Linked DNA regions of Canis lupus familiaris. The protein of the gene in region 4 interacts with the protein of the main gene of each other region in a biochemical or structural test. Links are inferred from orthologs where the notes say so. Each region holds a gene or a part of one and is shown on either strand. Other genes may lie near its edges. The genes, in order: ACTBL2, RAD23A, FAF2, UBE3A and UBQLN1.

Region 1 (2,776 bases), on a different chromosome or scaffold from region 4:
CCAAAGGAAAAGGAAAGCTAACACTATTCCAAGTACGTACGTTTTTATAACTATAGAGGCATGATGTTATAATACAGTACATGAATCTTGAAGATCAAAATGTTTTAAAGATCAGCTCAAATATATAATTTTAAAATTTATCTTATCACTTAATTATGTTTATTTTTGACCTAAAGAGTTATTATAAATGAATAAAATTTTTATAATCTGCATTTTATCTAACAAATCATGTAACACAATTAATCATTGAGCCTCTATGCAGTCAACATGGACCCAATAACCCTGAACAGTGCCTGGGCATAGTAAGTGCTTAATATAATTTGGCTGTTAGACATTTATATCAAGAAAGAAAATCTGAAGTGGTTTACTTTATTGATCATTTTATGCTTTTAGTTGTTGTCTAATGGATTAGAAGTCTATTAAATAGCCCTAAGTTTTGCACAACACAAATGTATGGTAAGTACAGCTGTCGGGCCACCCTTGGCCGTTCATTATCTTCATCCATTAAAACAATTTCAATCATGATAACATCCTGTGGGATTAGGATCTCAATGGGAAAGAAAATCTTGAAAAAGTAAAATATTCGGCATTGGGCTCCTCATGAGAACAATATATTAAGAATGAAAAGTTAAAGCTAGTGTGGAGAAGATGAATCCAGAGGGTAAAGTGAGGAGGGAGCGGTCCTCCCAGCAGTGTTACTCCTACCTCTCACTAGCATTCTTTCATCTTGCTCTTACATCCCCCACTGCATCATCATCGTTATCTAGAGACTGAGCCAAAGCATGCTGACAACCATGTGTGGGTTGCCTAATTACAGTAACCTCAGATTTGGCTACTTTTGGTAGCCAATTTTCTCTTTATGAAGGAAGGTCTACTAATGATTTGTATAATCATCATCATCATTATTAATACCTCAAAGGCAACCTCACCCAGAAATGATGGGAACTGGTGGGACAGGACATGGGTGGGGCCAGTGTGTACCTTTAAATACTTGTCATCACAGCACAGGATTTCCTCTCTGAAAGCAGTTCCAGAGTGTCTCAATCTGTTCCTTCTCTCACTTGACACTGTAGTCTGCTATTTACTCTATATTTAACTTTTGTTCACCTGCCTGGAAGATTCCAGCCAGCGCCATGACCGATGATGAGCTATCTGCCTTGGTGGTAGATAATGGGTCAGGAATGTGCAAGGCAGGCTTTGGTGGTGATGATGCCCCCCGGGCTGTGTTCCCATCCATGGTAGGGCGTCCCCGGCATCAGGGGGTCATGGTCGGCATGGGCCAGAAAGACTGCTATGTGGGGGATGAAGCTCAGAGCAAGAGAGGCATCCTGACTCTGAAGTATCCCATTGAGCATGGAGTGGTCACCAACTGGGATGACATGGAGAAGATCTGGCACCACACTTTCTACAACGAGCTCCGTGTGGCACCAGATGAGCATCCCATCCTTCTCACCGAGGCACCCCTCAACCCCAAGATCAACCGGGAAAAGATGACTCAGATCATGTTTGAGGCCTTCAATACACCGGCCATGTATGTGGCTATCCAGGCCGTGCTGTCCCTCTATGCCTCTGGGAGGACCACAGGTATCGTGATGGATTCTGGGGATGGGGTTACTCACACTGTGCCCATCTATGAAGGTTACGCCCTGCCTCATGCCATTCTACGTCTGGACCTGGCTGGCAGAGACCTGACCGACTACCTCATGAAGATTCTGACAGAACGAGGCTACAACTTCACCACCACAGCTGAGCGGGAAATTGTTCGTGATGTCAAAGAGAAGCTGTGCTACGTGGCCCTGGACTTTGAGCAAGAGATGGGCAGTGCTGCTGCATCCTCTTCACTTGAAAGGAGCTACGAGCTTCCAGATGGGCAAGTGATCACCCTTGGGAATGAACGCTTTCGATGCCCTGAATCCATTTTTCAGCCTTCCTTTTTGGGCATTGAGTCCAGTGGGATCCATGAGACGACTTTCAACTCTATCATGAAGTGTGATGTGGATATTCGCAAGGATCTATATGCCAACATCGTGTTGTCTGGAGGCAGCACTATGTACCCTGGCATTGCTGACAGGATGCAGAAGGAAATCATGACTTTGGCACCTAGCACCATGAAAATCAAGATCATAGCTCCCCCAGAGAGGAAGTATTCCGTTTGGATTGGGGGCTCTATTCTGGCCAGCCTGTCTACATTCCAGCAGATGTGGATCAGTAAGCAGGAATACGATGAGGCTGGTCCTCCCATAGTTCATAGAAAATGTTTCTGACTGGTCTTCGTGCTAATGGGTTTACATCTTTTCCTTCTCTAGGTCATAGTAATGGTACTGCTTTTATCCACTTTCCATTGAGTCAAGGTAAATACTCTGCTCTTGCTAGTATAGAGCCAGCAAACTGATCTCCATTAGAGTACTCTGGGCTCCTGCCCAGCTAACCACATCTTGACCTTTATCAACTCAAGGAGAGTTGATTCTATTTTCTTCACTATAAGGTTCAAAGAAATGTTGTCCTGCTTAAATGAAAATGAGTGACAAGGAGTAAAATCCTAAGAAATGTCCTTTCAGAATGAGTAACTAGCATTTCCAAGCCTTAAAAACTAGTTCATGCTTTAAATATTTAACAATATGCCATGTAACCCTATAGAAATGTGTATGTTAGCAATAAGTCTTATTAGTTAGTATTTTTGTTTTGTCTTTCTCCTTTGTATAAAGATAACTAATTATATGGGTCAATAATATCCATATATACATAAGCACCAAGGAAATAAAATATTCTATCTTAA
Region 2 (4,029 bases), on a different chromosome or scaffold from region 4:
CCTTCTGTGGCTGGCTGCTCCGACACCTGGCTCTCCTGGACAGAACCATGTTCTGGCTCGGGACTCCCAGGAATTCCCTGTCAGGGGTCCTATTTAGTTCTAACGCATAGACTGCCCACTGCCTCCCTTCTGCATGTTCAGCCCTGGCAGAAGACAGGTGAAGCCTTGGCCCTGCCCTCCACAGGCCCACCCCACCATTCATGCCCAGGCTCTTGCAGGAAGACTTTCCCGGTGGGAATCACAACCCAAAGTCTTCTGAGGACAAAGTTTTGCCTCTCTGACCACCCATTACAGCATGTAAGCCCATGTACTCCCTTGAGGCCTCCCCAGGAGGCAGCAGCCCCACCTCACCGTGAGTAGATACTCCACGGCTCGGTGGGGGTTGTTGTAGCTGGCTCTCAGGGCGGCCACGACCCGCTCCCTCTCATAGCCCATGGACATGATCTCTGTCAGCATCGTCTCATACTCAGAACCAGTCACTGTGGAGGGAGCAGCAAGGTCTGGGTCACCAAGGAGGGAGAAGGGCAGTTCCCAGGCCCCCCACACCCACACAAGGCCCCACAGCTGGCGGGCACCCAACTGCTTCTGCCCCAGGGACCACCCACCCACCTAGTGTGGATGCCGCATCTTCCTCTCGCCCGCTGCTACCTGAAGAAGGAACAGAGCTGCAAATTCAAGAGAGAGAAATCGGACCCTGGCTTCTGGCGGCTTGCCCTCCCCCAGGTATGTGGAAACATGTATGTGTCAAAATGTGCTGGGAAAACAGGGCCCAAGCTGGGGCTTCTGCTCCCTGGCCTTACCCTGACACGGACTCCGGGGATGTCGTGGGGACTGATTCCTCCGATGGGCTCTTGTCCTCTCTGGCAGTAGGTGGGGGATGGGACATGCCTGAGGCAGGGGCCGGAGGGAAGGATGTGGAGGACTCCGGGGCAGCAGTGGGTGAGGCCTCTGGGGGTACTGAGGTGCCTGGGCTAGTTTTGGCCTGTGACACCCAGAAAAAGGAGCAGGCATCAATATCCCTATCTAGCCCCAACATCCCATCCCGTCTCAGCCCCGCCCTATTCATAGCTAATCTCTCCTGGGCACACAGGCTCTTTGTCAGATCCCAAGCTAATTCTCTCACCCTCCCAGCCAGCACACTTTACCCACCTTGGTCACCATAACGACCACGAAATTCTTCTCATCAATGCGATAGTCCCTGATGGGAACGTCATCGCTCAGGATCTTGCCAGCATAGATGAGTTTCTGTCCAGCCACAGGGAAGGCATCACGACCCTTCTCAGCTTCTATTTTCTCCTTTAGCACCTTCACCTGGAAGGAGAGGAACACTCATTGCAAACCTCAAGACTCTTTCTTGATGGGGGGACGGGCAGGGGAAGGGACTGCAGACCTCAATGGCAGAGAAGCTAAGCTTCATAGTAAAGCATGCCAGATCCCACTATTCAACGAAGTATTTACCTAACACTTATTACACGCCAGGTGCTGTTCTAGGAATTGAGCACATAACATAGAAAGGAACAAAACTCAACATAATTCCCTGCGTCTGTGAAGATAACACTAATGCGAGGAAAAGTGAAAAAAAATATAACCTCAGATAACGTAAAATGTGATGAAAAGTAAAACAAAGAGGAAACGAGATTCCTCATTCCACACTGCTGACAGTGCTGTGTTTGCCAAAAACATCTTATACGGACAGCACTAACATAAGTGTGTACATACCGCTTTTAAAGCTTCACTACTGCATGAAGTAGATATCATTACCCCAGTTTTATATTTGAGGAAACAGGCACAGGGAGATTAAGTAGCTTGCCCAAAGTCAAACAGTTGGCGTGATCAAAAAATATGAGTGTTTCCTTTTCTACAAAACGTAGAGTTCAATGTCTCCATGAGGTAGTTGTGCAAAGCGCCAAACACACATTCAATGTCTGATGCGTCCTAAACCTCTTTTCAGCTAAAAACGCAGTGCAATGTTTAGACCACGGGCTCTCACATGAGACAAAACCAAATTTGAAACCCGTCTGCCATTACTTGCTTTATGTGACCGTAGCAAAATCCTCTTATTTCTAAATTCCCACATCTGTAAAACGGAGTGAGTCAAGAGTGCTCAAATGATGTCTGTTTTGCAACTTTAGTAAGATAACACAAAATTGCTCCGCTGCTGGTAAAGAACCGCCAACACAGACCACTGAAAAGTCAGGCCGTTTATTATCATTATCATCGTCACTGGCGTCACCACTCCCAAATGTGGCCACCAACGTCCCGAGGAGACGCCTGCAAAGCTGGGAACTCGGAGGCCCGGTCCCGGAGAGCGTGGCCGGGCCGGGAATCTGAGCCTTCGGCTCCCGCGACCCGCGAGGGCGCTGACATTGGAGCCGGGCCTGATGGGTGCCCCGGGGGTGGGGCCTAGTCTGGAGACCGGCCCTTGAGCGCCATCAGCACAAGTCGCCGGGGGCTGGGCCCAGAACCACAGGGAGGTTCGGGAAAGACAGGCAGGCTGGGACGGGTGGGCAGAGCCCTGCCCGCGCTGTCCTCCCCGCCCCTCCAGTCGGGATCCCGTCCTCCCCGCCCCCACCCCATCCCCCGGCACCCGTCGTTCCCGCCCCCGGGCTCCGGTCCAGCTCCCACCGTCTCGTCAGGCTCCATGCGGATTTTGAAGGTCTGCTGCTGCAGCGTTTTGAGCGTGATGGTGACGGCCATGGCGGGGCCCGAGCGACGCGGCGGCCCCGGGATCCTCACACAACATGCAACTCACGCCGCCGCCATCTTAGCGCCCAGCCGCGCCGCGAGCCGACCGCTTCCGGGGCAGGAGGTGCGCGCGCCGACCACCAGAGCACGTGACCTCCGCCCCCCCTTAGCTTTGGTGGGCATGCGCGAGAGGCTTTTGGCCAGGCATGCGCAGAGTAAACTCGGCTTCCGGAGGCAGCTTCTCATTCAGCACGCATATACGTCACGTGGCTCCCTGAGAGTGACGCCATGCCCGCTAGCGGTGACGTCAGACGGCCACAAAATGGCTCCAACGTCCCCCACTTTCATGATCTTGAGTTTGTTGATTACATCGAACAAAATTTTTCATCTACTTGTTGTAGACACTTGTATTTCTTGTACAAAGGCTTTTTTTGTCTCCCAAATGACTTTTGTTCTAGTGTGGCTACCCTCAAAGGAACCCTTACTCGGGACTGGGAAAAAACACTCAAAAGGTCACCAACAATTAGTTTAAAAAATGAAGGATTAGTTGGCTGAAGGTGATGATGGTGCTTTGGGGGACTGGATGGTGGCAAGGCAGAGTTCTCTCCCAGTTACTGGGTGGAGGCCCTTCCATCCTGAACTGACCATTACCTGCCTCCAAAACTCTTTAGTTTCTCACTCAACGTACGCCCTGCACCAGGGAGTTACCGGACACCTCACCCATTGCCCAACTGTAACCAGGTCCTGCTGTTTTTCCCTTCACAGCAGGCAGGGCCTGGAAGTTCCCACCATAGTAGGCCAGGCTGTTGAGGGCTTCTTGTCTCTCTCCTGCAACAAGGGACATAAGCTCCAGGCCACCTGCTGGACTTCAGTGGCAGCCATAGTAGACCCCAAAAGAGATGGGCTCTAGAGAACCTAGACCTTGTTGGCCTGTCATCTCTGCACCTTCCTTGAGGCCATCTCTTTCCAAGAATTCAAGGATTACCAACATGCTAGATCTACCATATCTGAACCTATATTCTTGATTATAAAAGGAGTAACTTAATTAACCCTGACTGGTATTAAGAATACTTGTTTAAAATAGTCCAATCATCCTAGTCTTGCTCTTTTAACAGTCAAGAAGTATATACGGTTGAGTGTAAAATAGATCTCATGAAATGGTGCTATGGTGTGAGTTCATAGCCCTGCCCTACCCCTTACATTTTGGAGCTTAGCCTCATCAAACTGAATGGGGCAAACTAAAAACAAAGCTCAGTTTGGCATGAAGACTCAATGAGTAATATCTGGAGTCTTTGTAAAGGCGCTTAGAACACACTCTTCTCCCACTGGTTTGAGGTTGTGGGG
Region 3 (3,515 bases), on a different chromosome or scaffold from region 4:
ATGGGAGGGCACACCCTGTCTTCTACCAGGGAACGTACAGCCAGGTCAGTGCCACAAACCATATAGATGCCAATTTATTGATATGGTTCTATCCATAAAGGAAAGCATAGCCCAGCACTGATCATGTCATTCTTTTACTCAAGAACCTTAACTACCTCTTGACTGCTTCCAGAAAAAGAAAAACCAGCCCTACTTGATCTAATCCCAACCTCCTTTTGAGGTCTTTGCTGTATAACTTGTTTCTCCATACCATAGGTTCCAGATAAACCATTTCCTGAACATATTTTATATATTTTTTCACTTCTGTGCCTTTGCTTTTGCTTTTCCCTCCACCTGGAATGCCTTCCTCACGTTTTTTGCTAAATGGAAGCTTTCCCATCCTTCAACTAGGTCATATCACTCCCTTCTTATAAACCCTTTCTGATTGACGTGTCCTACCTGGCCTACCTTGCAGTCTAACTAAAATAGTAGTCTTTTCTTTTGTGCTTTCATAGTTTTTTTGAAAACTTAAAGCAGTTTCACATTCTTCCTTATATCATGGTTGATTATGTTTATTTTTTATCTCCTATACCAGACAGTAATCCCCTTAAAGGCAAAGTCTAAGTCGTCTTTGATCCCTCACAGAATTGAGTAAGGTCATAGGCCATAGACTGAAGGCAGCACATCTCAGTCAACCCAAGCCACATAAACCTTTGATACCTCTTAAGGGGTGAAAATTAAGAGTTCTGTGGGTGTTAGGCATATCTCGAGTTTGCCAAAGAAAAATGTAGAAGTAACACTGTGTCTATAGTCCAAAGGATGGTTCTGTTCTGCAGCCTCCAGTATTCCTGAATCTATCTGGTAAAAAAAAAAAAAAAAAAAAAAAAAACACACACACAAAAAAAAACTTACTCTTGCTTTCTGCTTTGATTCTCCCATATCGGCTTTTTCTCTTAGTTGGTCTCCTCAGAGGCTCTGCTGCCACCCTACTCAACAAGCATTAAGCACCAACGCTAAAGATGCAGTTGTGAATTAAATTGGTACCTCTGCACCCTCTTTGCTATGATCCTGAGGGTAGACCACCATTGGTCATTCCAGAGATACTAATTGAATTGTATTGTGCTGAAGATTATGCAAAATGCAGAAGCATACAAAGGAATCTTGGACACTTGCGTTGTCTTTGAAGATCTTTTAAACTTTGTGCTCTTTAGAATGTATTTGGGTCCCTCAGTCTTGCATCCCTGCTTGGTATGTGGCCTGGGATCAGGCTCATCTTTGCAGTATTTTTTATGTATAAAGATGTTGTAGCTGTAAAGTGGCAAAATTCTCACCTCCCCTTTCATGTGGTCAGATTCTCGTTTTTATCTTCCTTTAGACTGTGGGAACAGCTGACTTTTCTGTGATTTGTTGGGGACCTTTCTTTGTTAGCCTGTCTACTCTCATGTGCCTAATACAGTTTAAATCCTAACACCGAACCTTTTCATTAAAGCTTGTTAGCTTGGACGTTTTGTAGGGAGAAAAATGCCAGGGGTATGAAGGTAGGAGCCCAGAATCTGATTTCTTGTTCACATTTTTTCCTCATTTCTCCTTTTGTTCTCTTAGCCTAAGGAAAAGCTCAAGGCATAGTCGTCATAATAATTAGTGATCTTCTGTTTCTCACAGGCACTTAACGATGCCAAGCGGGAGCTTCGCTTTCTTTTGGTTTATCTTCATGGAGATGATCACCAGGACTCTGATGAGTTCTGTCGGTAAGTGGATTGATTGATTATTTAAATTTTTTTGTCTGCTGATGTTTTGTAGTAAGCAAGTTCTTCTCATATCCTTTTCATCCCTCTCCACAGCAACACACTCTGTGCCCCTGAAGTTATTTCCCTAATAAATACTAGGATGCTTTTCTGGGCATGCTCCACAAATAAACCTGAGGGATATAGGGGTAAGTTGTGTTTCTTTTTCCTCATTGAGATTGTTGAGATATCTTTGAGATAGTCTGGGAAAACACGCCGTTTATTGCATGACTATTCTGTGTTAGACATGTGCTCATTACATTTTATATATTATCATATGTAATCCTCTCAGTAGTCCTGAAAGGAGGGTTGTATTATTTTCCCTTTATGGTTTAGGAAACAGGCTCAGAGAGTTTAAGTGAGATTGTACAGTTAGCAATCTCAGGTCTGTTAGACTCTAGTGCATTCTTTACAGGTAACCATTGCCAGGTTTTATTTTTAAAACATCCAGTCCTATCCAGCAGGACTAATCTAATCGCTTTTAATCTAAATGGCTTTTTACTGAGGAGTTGACTCTCATCATGAGTGATTTTATTTTATTTATTTTAAAGATTTTTATTTATTTATTTGAGAGAGAGAGATAGAGGGAGAAGCAGGCTCTCTGCTGAGCAGGGAGCCCGATGTGGGGCTTGATTCCAGGACTCTGGGATAATGACCTGAGCCAAAGGCAGACGTTTAACCACCTGAGCCACCCAGGCGCCCCCCATCAGCAATTTTAACAGCTTCTTGCACATTGAATTAGTTGGGTACTCGAGTGCTGATAGGGATTCAGAAAGTTCAGATCTTTGCTGACAGTAACTCTTCACTAGAGATAAGTATATTTAGAAGTCAATATAAAGCATACATTAAGAAAAATGTAGTTACTTTGTAGTTACTTGTGTTCAGCAACTTTTGAGTATATACTAGCATAGATACTAAGAATCAAAGATGTTTTGCCTACCTCTTAAAATCTGAATCTTTACTCCTAATTGGTTTTTAAACATCTGATAAATTCATACAGCATGCGTTTTGCTACTCTAATATGGCTTTGGGGATATGGAAGGTAGTTGATAGAAAGAGATATATTTTTTATAGAAGCTTATAAAATATCTTCTTTAAAACCATAAGAAAAACATAAATAAAACTCCTTTATGGTAAAATCCTGCTTATTTGGAAAACTAACTTTCTAAAACCTCTTTGGAACAAAAAAAACTAGCTCTTTTGGTTGGGGGTAGGTGAGGGAGACATGAGGAAAGGACTAAGGAAGGGATTGAGTAAGAGGAAGAAAAGGCAGAAGACAGTGGTGGATCTCATCACCAGTAATAAAAGGCTGAGATTTACAGCCTTATTTTCTTTAGTCCTGATACCCAGTATAGGGGAAAATTATGCTTAGCAGTAGCCAAATTCTTTATAGGTCCTTTTTTACCAAAATGGCTTTGTCCTTGACTTCTGCAGTCTTCCCAAGCATCATTATGACAACCACTCCTGCCAGAATAGTTTATCCTATTCTAATCAAATTACCTGGGAATAGGGACACAAAAATAAAATAAAACCACAGCAAAGATTAAAAAACTAGGAGGAAAAAAGGTATGTAGAGAATAAGTGAGACCTCCTTTCATTCCCAAGTAGGGGAGTAAAACCTTCCTGTCTTGCTCCTTGTGGAAAGTCTAAGAGTTGATCTGGTTCATCCGTAGGGCTGCCCTTAACCTGTTGACTCTTCTTTCTCAGTCTCGCAGGCTTTACGAGAGAACACCTATCCATTCCTGGCCATGA
Region 4 (4,015 bases):
GACAAAACTGCAGCTCACCAAGACTAAGTAACTTTCTAAGATCAAACAAGTAAGGTTGAGCCCAGAAGTAAAAATGGAATCTAATTCCAAAGCTATCTTCCCTGTATACATTATAATGTCTGAATTTATCTTTTCATTTGCAGTGGGGGCAGAGCAGGGAATGTCAAAATCAGCCAAAACTCTGTTATCCCGAATTATCCTAAAAAGAGAAAACTTGTCTTCACTCATAAAAAAAATCAAAAAACTAATTTCTTAACAGATACCTATGTACTTAATGTAATGTCCCTGTTTTGACCAATACTAGTTTAGATATAAACAAAAATGTGCAACATGACAAGTACATAACCAATAATCATTTAAGAAAATAAACATCTGTAAATATTTCAAGTGTTTGGGTTGAAAAATTTAGATATGATGCATAGTTTTGGATTATTCCACTGACTGCTTATTTGAAATGGCAAATCATTTCAGATGTGTGGGGTGATTTTTTTTTTTTCTTTTTTGGAGGGGAGAGAGGAGTACCACTTTAAAAATGATCTAAAGTTTAAGAAATACAACTGATTAAATGTTAAAATCCAATTTTAAATACCCAATAAACCTTATTACATGAGCTGGGCAAGTGGGATGAGAATGTGTCTTCCTCACACTTCTAATAAGCATACTTAAGAAGGTATTTTTTTAAGCCATGAAAAAAATGTACAATTTCAGAGAAGTAAAACAAAAACAGCTTACAAAACCCCTGAAAAGGAACCAAAACATTGTAATATTGTAATTTACTCTGTAAAGTCCTCAAGAACTAGGCAATGTCCAGACAACAGTGTACATAATACTTAGCATACTAGATAATATATATTGATACAAGACTTCCTTAGTTTCCAGTCCCATTCTTGTAAGGAGAAGGTCATTATTTCTTGAATTTATTTCTTGCTTTTGTTGTCATGATTATTAGTTTCTTTAAAAGGCTTCAGGTTCATTCTTTGGTCTTATCAGCATCATCGTGAATATTGTATTCATTTTATTACAAATGTGATAACCCGATTTATAAGCACCATCTACCTCTAAAATTATTTCTATATATATCATGACAAAATTATACTTTTATCTTTCTAAATTCTAAATTTTTACATGGCTTACACAATAATCTGAGTACTTATTAGTCAGAGATTATGAATAAACACTTCTTATCCTTCTTGTCTAATTCACTCAAGATATTTATTGGGTATCCACAGTGACTCTGACAGGTAACTTTTTAACAGTTATACTTCCAAACTCTAGGTCCTTTCCATTTCAGGCCCTTTTCTTCCCCCCAGAATATTCTGGAATAATTTCCTGCTTCTTTCAATATTGCAGGCAGTGGAATTCTCCAAAATTATGGGTCATATCCATATTCCCCTCATATTTACGGAGGGTAACTATGGACTGTAAATCCCATATTACTATTCTTTTACATTTCAACAGCACCCTAGCCACTTAATAAATAGAATCCCAGACAGATTTAGTAATGTTTCTATTTTAGTATGCCCACTGGTCGTTTTTAAAAATTCAGAGACTAAATTATCTTTGAAGGAGTCTAAGTCTACATTAAAATCATTTCTAACAATTTTATTGATTAAAGCATTTGCCACGTTCAATTCTCACTTTACCAACAAAACCTCCACGCCATGACGAAGAAAGAGTCCTTTTCATTTTCTCAACTGAAAAGGGAAAGTAAAAAATGCCAACTGTTTGCAGGTTTGCATTTAAGGGAATTTCTGGCAAACCCGGTAACTCACGTTTAACATGAAAACGCGGATAATCTGTGGACGCGACCCGGGGCTCGATTTCCCACTTCATCCGCCCTCCCCCCCAACCCCACCCCCGCCACCGTCCACCCCCAAATCCCAACCCACCGCAGCGCCAGGCTCAGCATTTTTCACCCACGGGGCCGAGCCCTCAAGAAAAACTCTCCCCTCGGGAGGAGAGGGCCGGCCCTACCAGCCCGGCTCCGGCCTGCTCCGCGAGCCCTTCCACCGAGGCCAACTCTCGACGCCCTGCACGCCCCGCCCCGGGCCCGCTCGCGTCCCCTCCGGCCACACCACCCTCCCTCCGGCCCTCGGCCAGGACTGACAGTTACGGAGGCAGCCGCCGCCGCCGCCGCCACCGCCACCAGAGGCCTAGTCCTGGCAGCAGCCGCCCCCCCCCCCCCACCGCCGCGCGGTCCGGGGGCCTCCCACCCTCCCTCCCAGGCCCCGGAAGGCGGCTCGGCGACACGGACGACGTCGGGAACGGCCCCCGGCCACACTGACCTGCGGTCGCCCCCGCGCCCGGGCCGTGGCCCTCGCAGCCGCGGCTGCCTCACTGGTCGCAGTAGCCTTCGCTCGCCGCCTCCGCCCGCCACCGCCTCGTTCCCTGTCGCTGCCGCCACCGCCGGGGCTCATGCGGGACCCGCGCTTCCTTCTCCGGAGACGGAGGCCGGGAAAGGGGGCGCCGGGGCCGCAAGAGAACCCGAGCTCGCCGCCAGCCGCCGCCTGTCCGCGCTGGGGAGCTGCGGGGCCCGCCGAGCCGGGGCTGGGCTGCGGACTGCTCCGAGCGCGACCCCGAGACGCGCCGAGGGAGGCGCCGCCGCCCGCTGCCCGAAGCGTTGGGTCCGCAAGATGAAGCCCAAGTCCGAGGCGGCGGCGGAAGGCGAGCGCGCAGGCCGGCGGATGGCTAAGTGGCAGCGGGGTGCGTGAGCGGGAGGAAGGCGGTGTGTCGAGGTTCCGGCGAAGGGGATTCAGGCTCTGTCGTCTACTGCCAGTCACCCCGAACCCAGCGCCACCATCTTGGAAAAAAACGCGGATCTCGCGGCCGCAGCGCAAGCCGGGAGGACTGGCTGGGCGGGCCGAGTATCCCAGCAGGCAGCGCGCGCCGCCCGGCCGGGCGAGAGCTCCGGGCCGGGACGCAGCGACGTGAGGCGGGGCTGGGGTGCGCGCGGGCGGGCGCAGCGCTGTGCCCCGCCCTCTCACGCCGGCTCCGCCCCCTGCCTTCTTGCCGTCGTCGCCCGCGCAGGGCCTGCTGGGAAGGGGAAGTGGCTCGGGGCTCCCTGGAGTCCTACCAGGGCTGGTCGCCATCTTGGGACGAGGCAGAGGAGTTCGTGTTTCCATGGAGCCACCTCTGTCTGTGGTGGCTCTATCCCCGCGGAAAGAAGGGGGTAACGCCGGGAGCCCCCTGGAGCCCCTGGGAGGGCTGGACGGCCCCCTGGTATACCCAAGTCCAGGGACGTGCTAGGACATAAACGCTCCCGATGTTAACCGGGATGGGTCCGCCGGGGGGCGGGGGCTGTGATGGCTTCCAGCCCCGCATAGCGGGGCCGACGCCTCCGGACACCGGGCCTTCGATCTCAGCCCCTTCCCGTCAGGCGGCAGCTGTAGGTCCTGCTGTGGTACCCCGAGAGCGTGAGCCACCTTCAGGGGACAAGGTCATCTGCTTGGGCCTCCCGCCGACACAATGTCATCACTGTAGTCGAAGGTGAAAGCCCATCCCTTGGCAGGTTGTTAGGAGATGGTGGCCTCGTGGTCCACACCAGCCGGGGGGATGCTGATTCCATCCCCGTGACAATTGAAGCCACTTAAAGCCATGCGTCTTCATACTATCAAGGTCACCTTTTTATTTAAAAGGGCTTATTTTATGGCTCTGCGACACTTAGCAAAGCTGTAGTGGGATCACTAACAAACAGTATTCCTAATGGCTTACGACTTCGCTAAGCCCCGAAATACTATATAGATCCCATTCATCTGATACTCAATTTTTTTTAAATCAACAGTCTTACATAGCACTGTATTTAACTGCCATTCTTAGAACATTATAAGTCAGATATATGGATACGGCTTCCCAATTATAACCTGTAAAAAAAAAAAAAAAAAAAAAAAAAAACGTAAAAAATAAGCTAGTGGAATTTAAATTATCCCAGAACAATTAATGATAAATGACAGTATTAAATCATGTCCGATTTTTAACTCGGTTCCTTACTCTTTTTTTCATTTTCTCCCATTAACAG
Region 5 (4,147 bases), on a different chromosome or scaffold from region 4:
TGATCCTGACACACAGCAATTTCCCTTAACAAGAAAAGGCTCAAATCTATGCAATACTTGTTATATCTAAGTATACGAATATTCTAAAAGTTTCAAATGATAAAAATGTTTTCTAAGACTAGAATATATGTTGCCTGAATATTTCAGAGAACTAGATTTCAAAATCTTTTACTATAACCTAGAGCACTACAAAATCCCGGAACAAGCTAATTAGACACGTTACCTGGAAGCTCCCTTCTGCTCTCTGCACTAATTTTAATGAACGAATGACAACAGAAAGCACTTTTCAGAATAAAAATTCAAATGTCATCAGAATAAGTTGCTTCGGAAAAGCTTTAATTTAACCAATTTACTTTGGTTACAGAAAAGTAAAATTAAAACTCCCACAGGCTTTAAAATTCTAATGTCACTCTCACACACACAATATATATATAAATCCTAACAGACAGTACCTCATAAAATAACTTAAATGTACTTTTCTATTTATAAAATATTGACTCTTTCCAATCCTTTACAATAAAATGCTGAAAGCAGGCATGAAGGTGGAGACCTGAATTAGCAATCCTAGAAAGAAGATCTAAGGGCTTCAAAAGCTAATATACCTAGCAGAGCTAAAATGAAAAAGACTGACACTATCAAATGCTAGCAGGGATGTGGAGCAACAGGAACTCCCAAGAACCTTTGGTAGAACCTTTGGTGGAATACCGAATAGTATTCCATTGTAGGGGAATATATCACATTTTACTCTTTATTCATCAGCTAAGGGGTTGTTAATCATCTGGGTTGTTTCTTTTCGACCAGCCTTTAAAAAAGAGCGATAGAAGCTCTTTTTAAAAAGACAGTTTCTCATAACTAAGCCTACAACTACGCTATCACCCAGTCATTCCACTTCTAAGAATTTTAACAGGAAAAACTCCCTCTGTCCAACAAAAAAAGTTTGTATGTTCACAGCAACCAACTGCAAGAAGCCCATGTGGCCCTCAGCAGAATGCATTAATTAATGGCATATTCACACAGTGGAAAACACAGCAATAAACAGGAATTACTGGCATATACAAGAATGCATCTCAAAAACATTACACTGAGTGAAAAGACCTTACCCAACAGAATATATACTATATAATCCCACTTATGTGAAGTTCTAGAACAGGCAAAAACTAATGGTGAAAAAAATCAAAACAGTGATGTATGGAGGGGAGTGATTGAACTGTAAAGTTCTACATCTTGATAAAACTTTGGATCATATAGGTGTATTTGTTGAAAACATTTAATGATACTTGCAACTTACTCTAAAATGCATTCAAAAAGTAAAAGGAAGTAATACATGATTAGTTGCGTGATAAAGCAAATAAAACAAAGCGTCAATTGTAGGTGACGAACTATGAATGTTCACTGTACCATTCTTTCAACTCTGCTAGATGTTAGAAAATATTAAAATGTTAAGAGAAATTTTTATACAATTGGGGACCCCCCCACACACACACACACACAAAAGGTGATTCAGTAGGTGGTAAAAGTTTCTCAGTTGATGGTACACTCTACTTACTGCTCTACTCTATTTACACCACTATTTCCTGCTCTACTCTACACCACCTTTCAGAACGATTATGTAAACCAATATCCCATTTACAGTTTATGAGAAAACTTACATGTACATTTCACATTGTTGTTCCCTCAAACTGTTCCCATTTTAGATCGTCAGAGGTCAACAACTATGCAAAATATTTTCAACAATAAGCTACAACAAATTTGTTGAATTCTTCAAGATTCTTAATTGAACAGCAAAGTTTGTACACCCGAACCCAATTTTAAGCAGTAAATTATCTGGCAATATTCTCCATTAACTCCAATTTTGTTCTCTTGCATTCGACTGCCACCGCTAATATCTGCAAAACGTGGCTACCATCCCTCTAAAATCAAACAAAAACCTTCCCGATGACTGGCACCTAAGGGATGATAAACACTAAAAAGAAAACCGCAAGTCATCAATGAAAGTCATCCACCTTTCTTCCTTAAGGCTAGTACTATTAAGATGTGGCTGAAAACGATTTCTACGTCATGGTTAATTTTTTTTTTTTTTTGAAGATTAGAAGGTAGAAAAGATTTCAGCAATCAAAACGCAGAACTAAATGTACACGTGCTCCTCGCCCCAAAATCGACCTTAAGCTGCAAGCAGGTGAAACAATGGGCACCCACCCACCCTTTTTTTTTTTTTTAACTCAGGAGACAAAACCGCAGAGGAGGCTACCGCGAACCCTCGCCCAGCCCGGCCTCCACCCCGCCCGGAGCGCGGCGGTGGTCCCTTTCCTTTGTGAGCAGCGGGAGGGAGGCGGCGGGGGGCGGGGGGCGGGGGGCGGGGGGCGGGGGCTGGGGCGGGGGCTGGTGGTCCGCGGACGCGGGAGCGGGGGGAGGGGGCGGCGTCGGCGCGTCCCACAGCAGGCCGCGGGGCCCCGCCACAAGCCTCTGCGGTGTCCCAAGGAGCACACCCGGCAACTTGGGTGTGATCTGATTCGGGGCGAGACCCGCGAGGCGGGCCGACAGCACCTCGGGGGACGGTCTCCTCCCGCCGCGGGCGGAGGTCCCGCCGCCACCCCCACCCGGGCCCGCGGCCAGGGCGGCCCTCACCTGCTGCACGGAGCTGTTCTCGGGCACGGCGAACTCCTCCTTCTCCTTCGGGGTCTTCACGGTGACTTTCATGATCTTGGGCTCCGCGGACGCAGCGGCCGCGGGGGCGCCTGCACCTTCGGCCGCGGCGGCGCCGTCCTGGGAGCTCGGAGGGCCGCCGCTTTCACCACTCTCGGCCATGGCGGCGGCGGCGGTGACTCAGGCGCGCAGGAGGGAGCGGGCGAGCGAGGGGGAGCCAGCAGACGGCAGAGCCGGCCGGCCCGGGCAGCGGAGAACGCGGGGCACGCCGCCTCAGTGACAACCGGTGCGGGGCCGCCCTGGCAGGCGAGGGGCCGCGGGGCTCGGCGCGGGCTCCGGCGCAGGCCCGGGCTGGGCGCTCGGCAGCCGCCGTGAGTTCAGACGCCGCTCGGTCGCAGCGACATCCGCAGCCGCCGCCGCTCTTCCTCCTCCCCGCCCCTCCCCCCACGTCCCTCGGCCGGCGCCGCGCAGGGCACGCCGGGTAAGTCGGCTGGCGGCGTCGCCGAGTCATGCCCGGCCAGCCCCGCTTCCAGCCCCGGCCGCCTTTCTTTCCCTGTCCCGGCTCCATGGCCCAGAGGGTAGGCGCAGCCGGAGAGGAGAGCTAAAAGCAAAATGGGGCGGGAGGGATCAGTTCATTTCATTTCATCCCCTTGGCTAAAAAACAAATTAGCGTGTTCTGGGAAGCACGGTAACGGCGCGCGGTGATGACCTCACGCCTAGCGAAGTTACTAGAAAGGAGCTCGACCACTGGGCGACGCGGACGCGCCTGCGCGCTGTGGTTCGGCGGCGGCCCCCGCCCCCTGCGGACCCCGCGGCGGCCGTGCCCGGCCCCTCCGCGCCGTAGCGCTCGCCTCGCCTTTGCGCGCACCCGGGACCCCGGGGAGGGCAGTGGGAGTGCCGGGTGTCGCGGTAACAGCCGTCCGCTTGCCCACTTGTGGCCTTTGAGATGCTTGCCCGTACTGCCCGGTGCGCGGGAGGTGGAAGCTACGTTAATGGAGGAAGGCGCTTCGTCGTAACGAAGGAAGAGTGGGCCGTAGCCACCCTGCGCGATCCCGCGGAGTCACTGCCCCGCGGCCCGGGCGGCCCGCCCTCGGGTCAGCCGGTTGGGTCTGGCGATCAGGCCACCTCTGCTGACAGGCCGCCGCCCCCCGCCCGGACAGCCTGCGCGAGCGCCCCGGATTCTCTGGACGCTGCCCCGCAAAGTACGGGGGCAGAAACGGGGGCCCAAGGGCTGCCCCCCCCCCCCACCTGGGGCGCTTGAATGAAGCCGAGGTGTTCGTTTTACATTCTGTCAAGTTATTCCTGCAGTTCAGATTTTAGGTTCAAAAATCCTTTTTAGTAGAGTGTGGGTATAAATAATTTAATTATCTCCCCCCCCCCTAGAACTCGGGCTTTGAAATGACGTCATTTGCCTTTAAAGATGACTTGCAAGGAATATAGAACCCAGGACATTAGCTTTATTAATCAGTATTGCGCAAATGGAAACCCAGACAGCCCACAGTGA

What was found.
Region 1: the proteins of UBE3A (region 4) and ACTBL2 form a complex in vitro, tested with the Homo sapiens proteins (2 studies listed by BioGRID). The link is inferred for Canis lupus familiaris from reciprocal best matches to the Homo sapiens genes UBE3A and ACTBL2.
Region 2: of the proteins of UBE3A (region 4) and RAD23A, one has a biochemical effect on the other in vitro, tested with the Homo sapiens proteins (9 studies listed by BioGRID, with this or other methods). The link is inferred for Canis lupus familiaris from reciprocal best matches to the Homo sapiens genes UBE3A and RAD23A.
Region 3: of the proteins of UBE3A (region 4) and FAF2, one has a biochemical effect on the other in vitro, tested with the Homo sapiens proteins (2 studies listed by BioGRID). The link is inferred for Canis lupus familiaris from reciprocal best matches to the Homo sapiens genes UBE3A and FAF2.
Region 5: the proteins of UBE3A (region 4) and UBQLN1 form a complex in vitro, tested with the Homo sapiens proteins (2 studies listed by BioGRID, with this or other methods). The link is inferred for Canis lupus familiaris from reciprocal best matches to the Homo sapiens genes UBE3A and UBQLN1.

The regions. Positions count from the first base shown.
Region 1 is NC_049223.1:43,696,016-43,698,791, reverse strand, and holds ACTBL2 (beta-actin-like protein 2), read left to right. Parts: upstream 1-1,133; coding exon 1,134-2,264; downstream 2,265-2,776. UniProt on the Homo sapiens protein: Actins are highly conserved proteins that are involved in various types of cell motility and are ubiquitously expressed in all eukaryotic cells.
Region 2 is NC_049241.1:49,644,324-49,648,352, forward strand, and holds the start of RAD23A (UV excision repair protein RAD23 homolog A), read right to left. Parts: upstream 2,813-4,029; 5' UTR 2,698-2,812; coding exon 2,626-2,697; intron 1,312-2,625; coding exon 1,150-1,311; intron 983-1,149; coding exon 801-982; intron 666-800; coding exon 610-665; intron 480-609; coding exon 352-479; intron 78-351; coding exon 1-77. UniProt on the Homo sapiens protein: Multiubiquitin chain receptor involved in modulation of proteasomal degradation. Binds to 'Lys-48'-linked polyubiquitin chains in a length-dependent manner and with a lower affinity to 'Lys-63'-linked polyubiquitin chains.
Region 3 is NC_049225.1:37,718,187-37,721,701, reverse strand, and holds part of FAF2 (FAS-associated factor 2), read left to right. Parts: coding exon 1-44; intron 45-1,641; coding exon 1,642-1,727; intron 1,728-1,820; coding exon 1,821-1,912; intron 1,913-3,470; coding exon 3,471-3,515. UniProt on the Homo sapiens protein: Plays an important role in endoplasmic reticulum-associated degradation (ERAD) that mediates ubiquitin-dependent degradation of misfolded endoplasmic reticulum proteins.
Region 4 is NC_049224.1:35,646,755-35,650,769, reverse strand, and holds the start of UBE3A (ubiquitin-protein ligase E3A), read right to left. Parts: upstream 2,805-4,015; 5' UTR 2,286-2,804; intron 1-2,285. UniProt on the Homo sapiens protein: E3 ubiquitin-protein ligase which accepts ubiquitin from an E2 ubiquitin-conjugating enzyme in the form of a thioester and transfers it to its substrates.
Region 5 is NC_049222.1:76,346,978-76,351,124, reverse strand, and holds the start of UBQLN1 (ubiquilin-1), read right to left. Parts: upstream 2,806-4,147; coding exon 2,626-2,805; intron 1-2,625. UniProt on the Homo sapiens protein: Plays an important role in the regulation of different protein degradation mechanisms and pathways including ubiquitin-proteasome system (UPS), autophagy and endoplasmic reticulum-associated protein degradation (ERAD) pathway.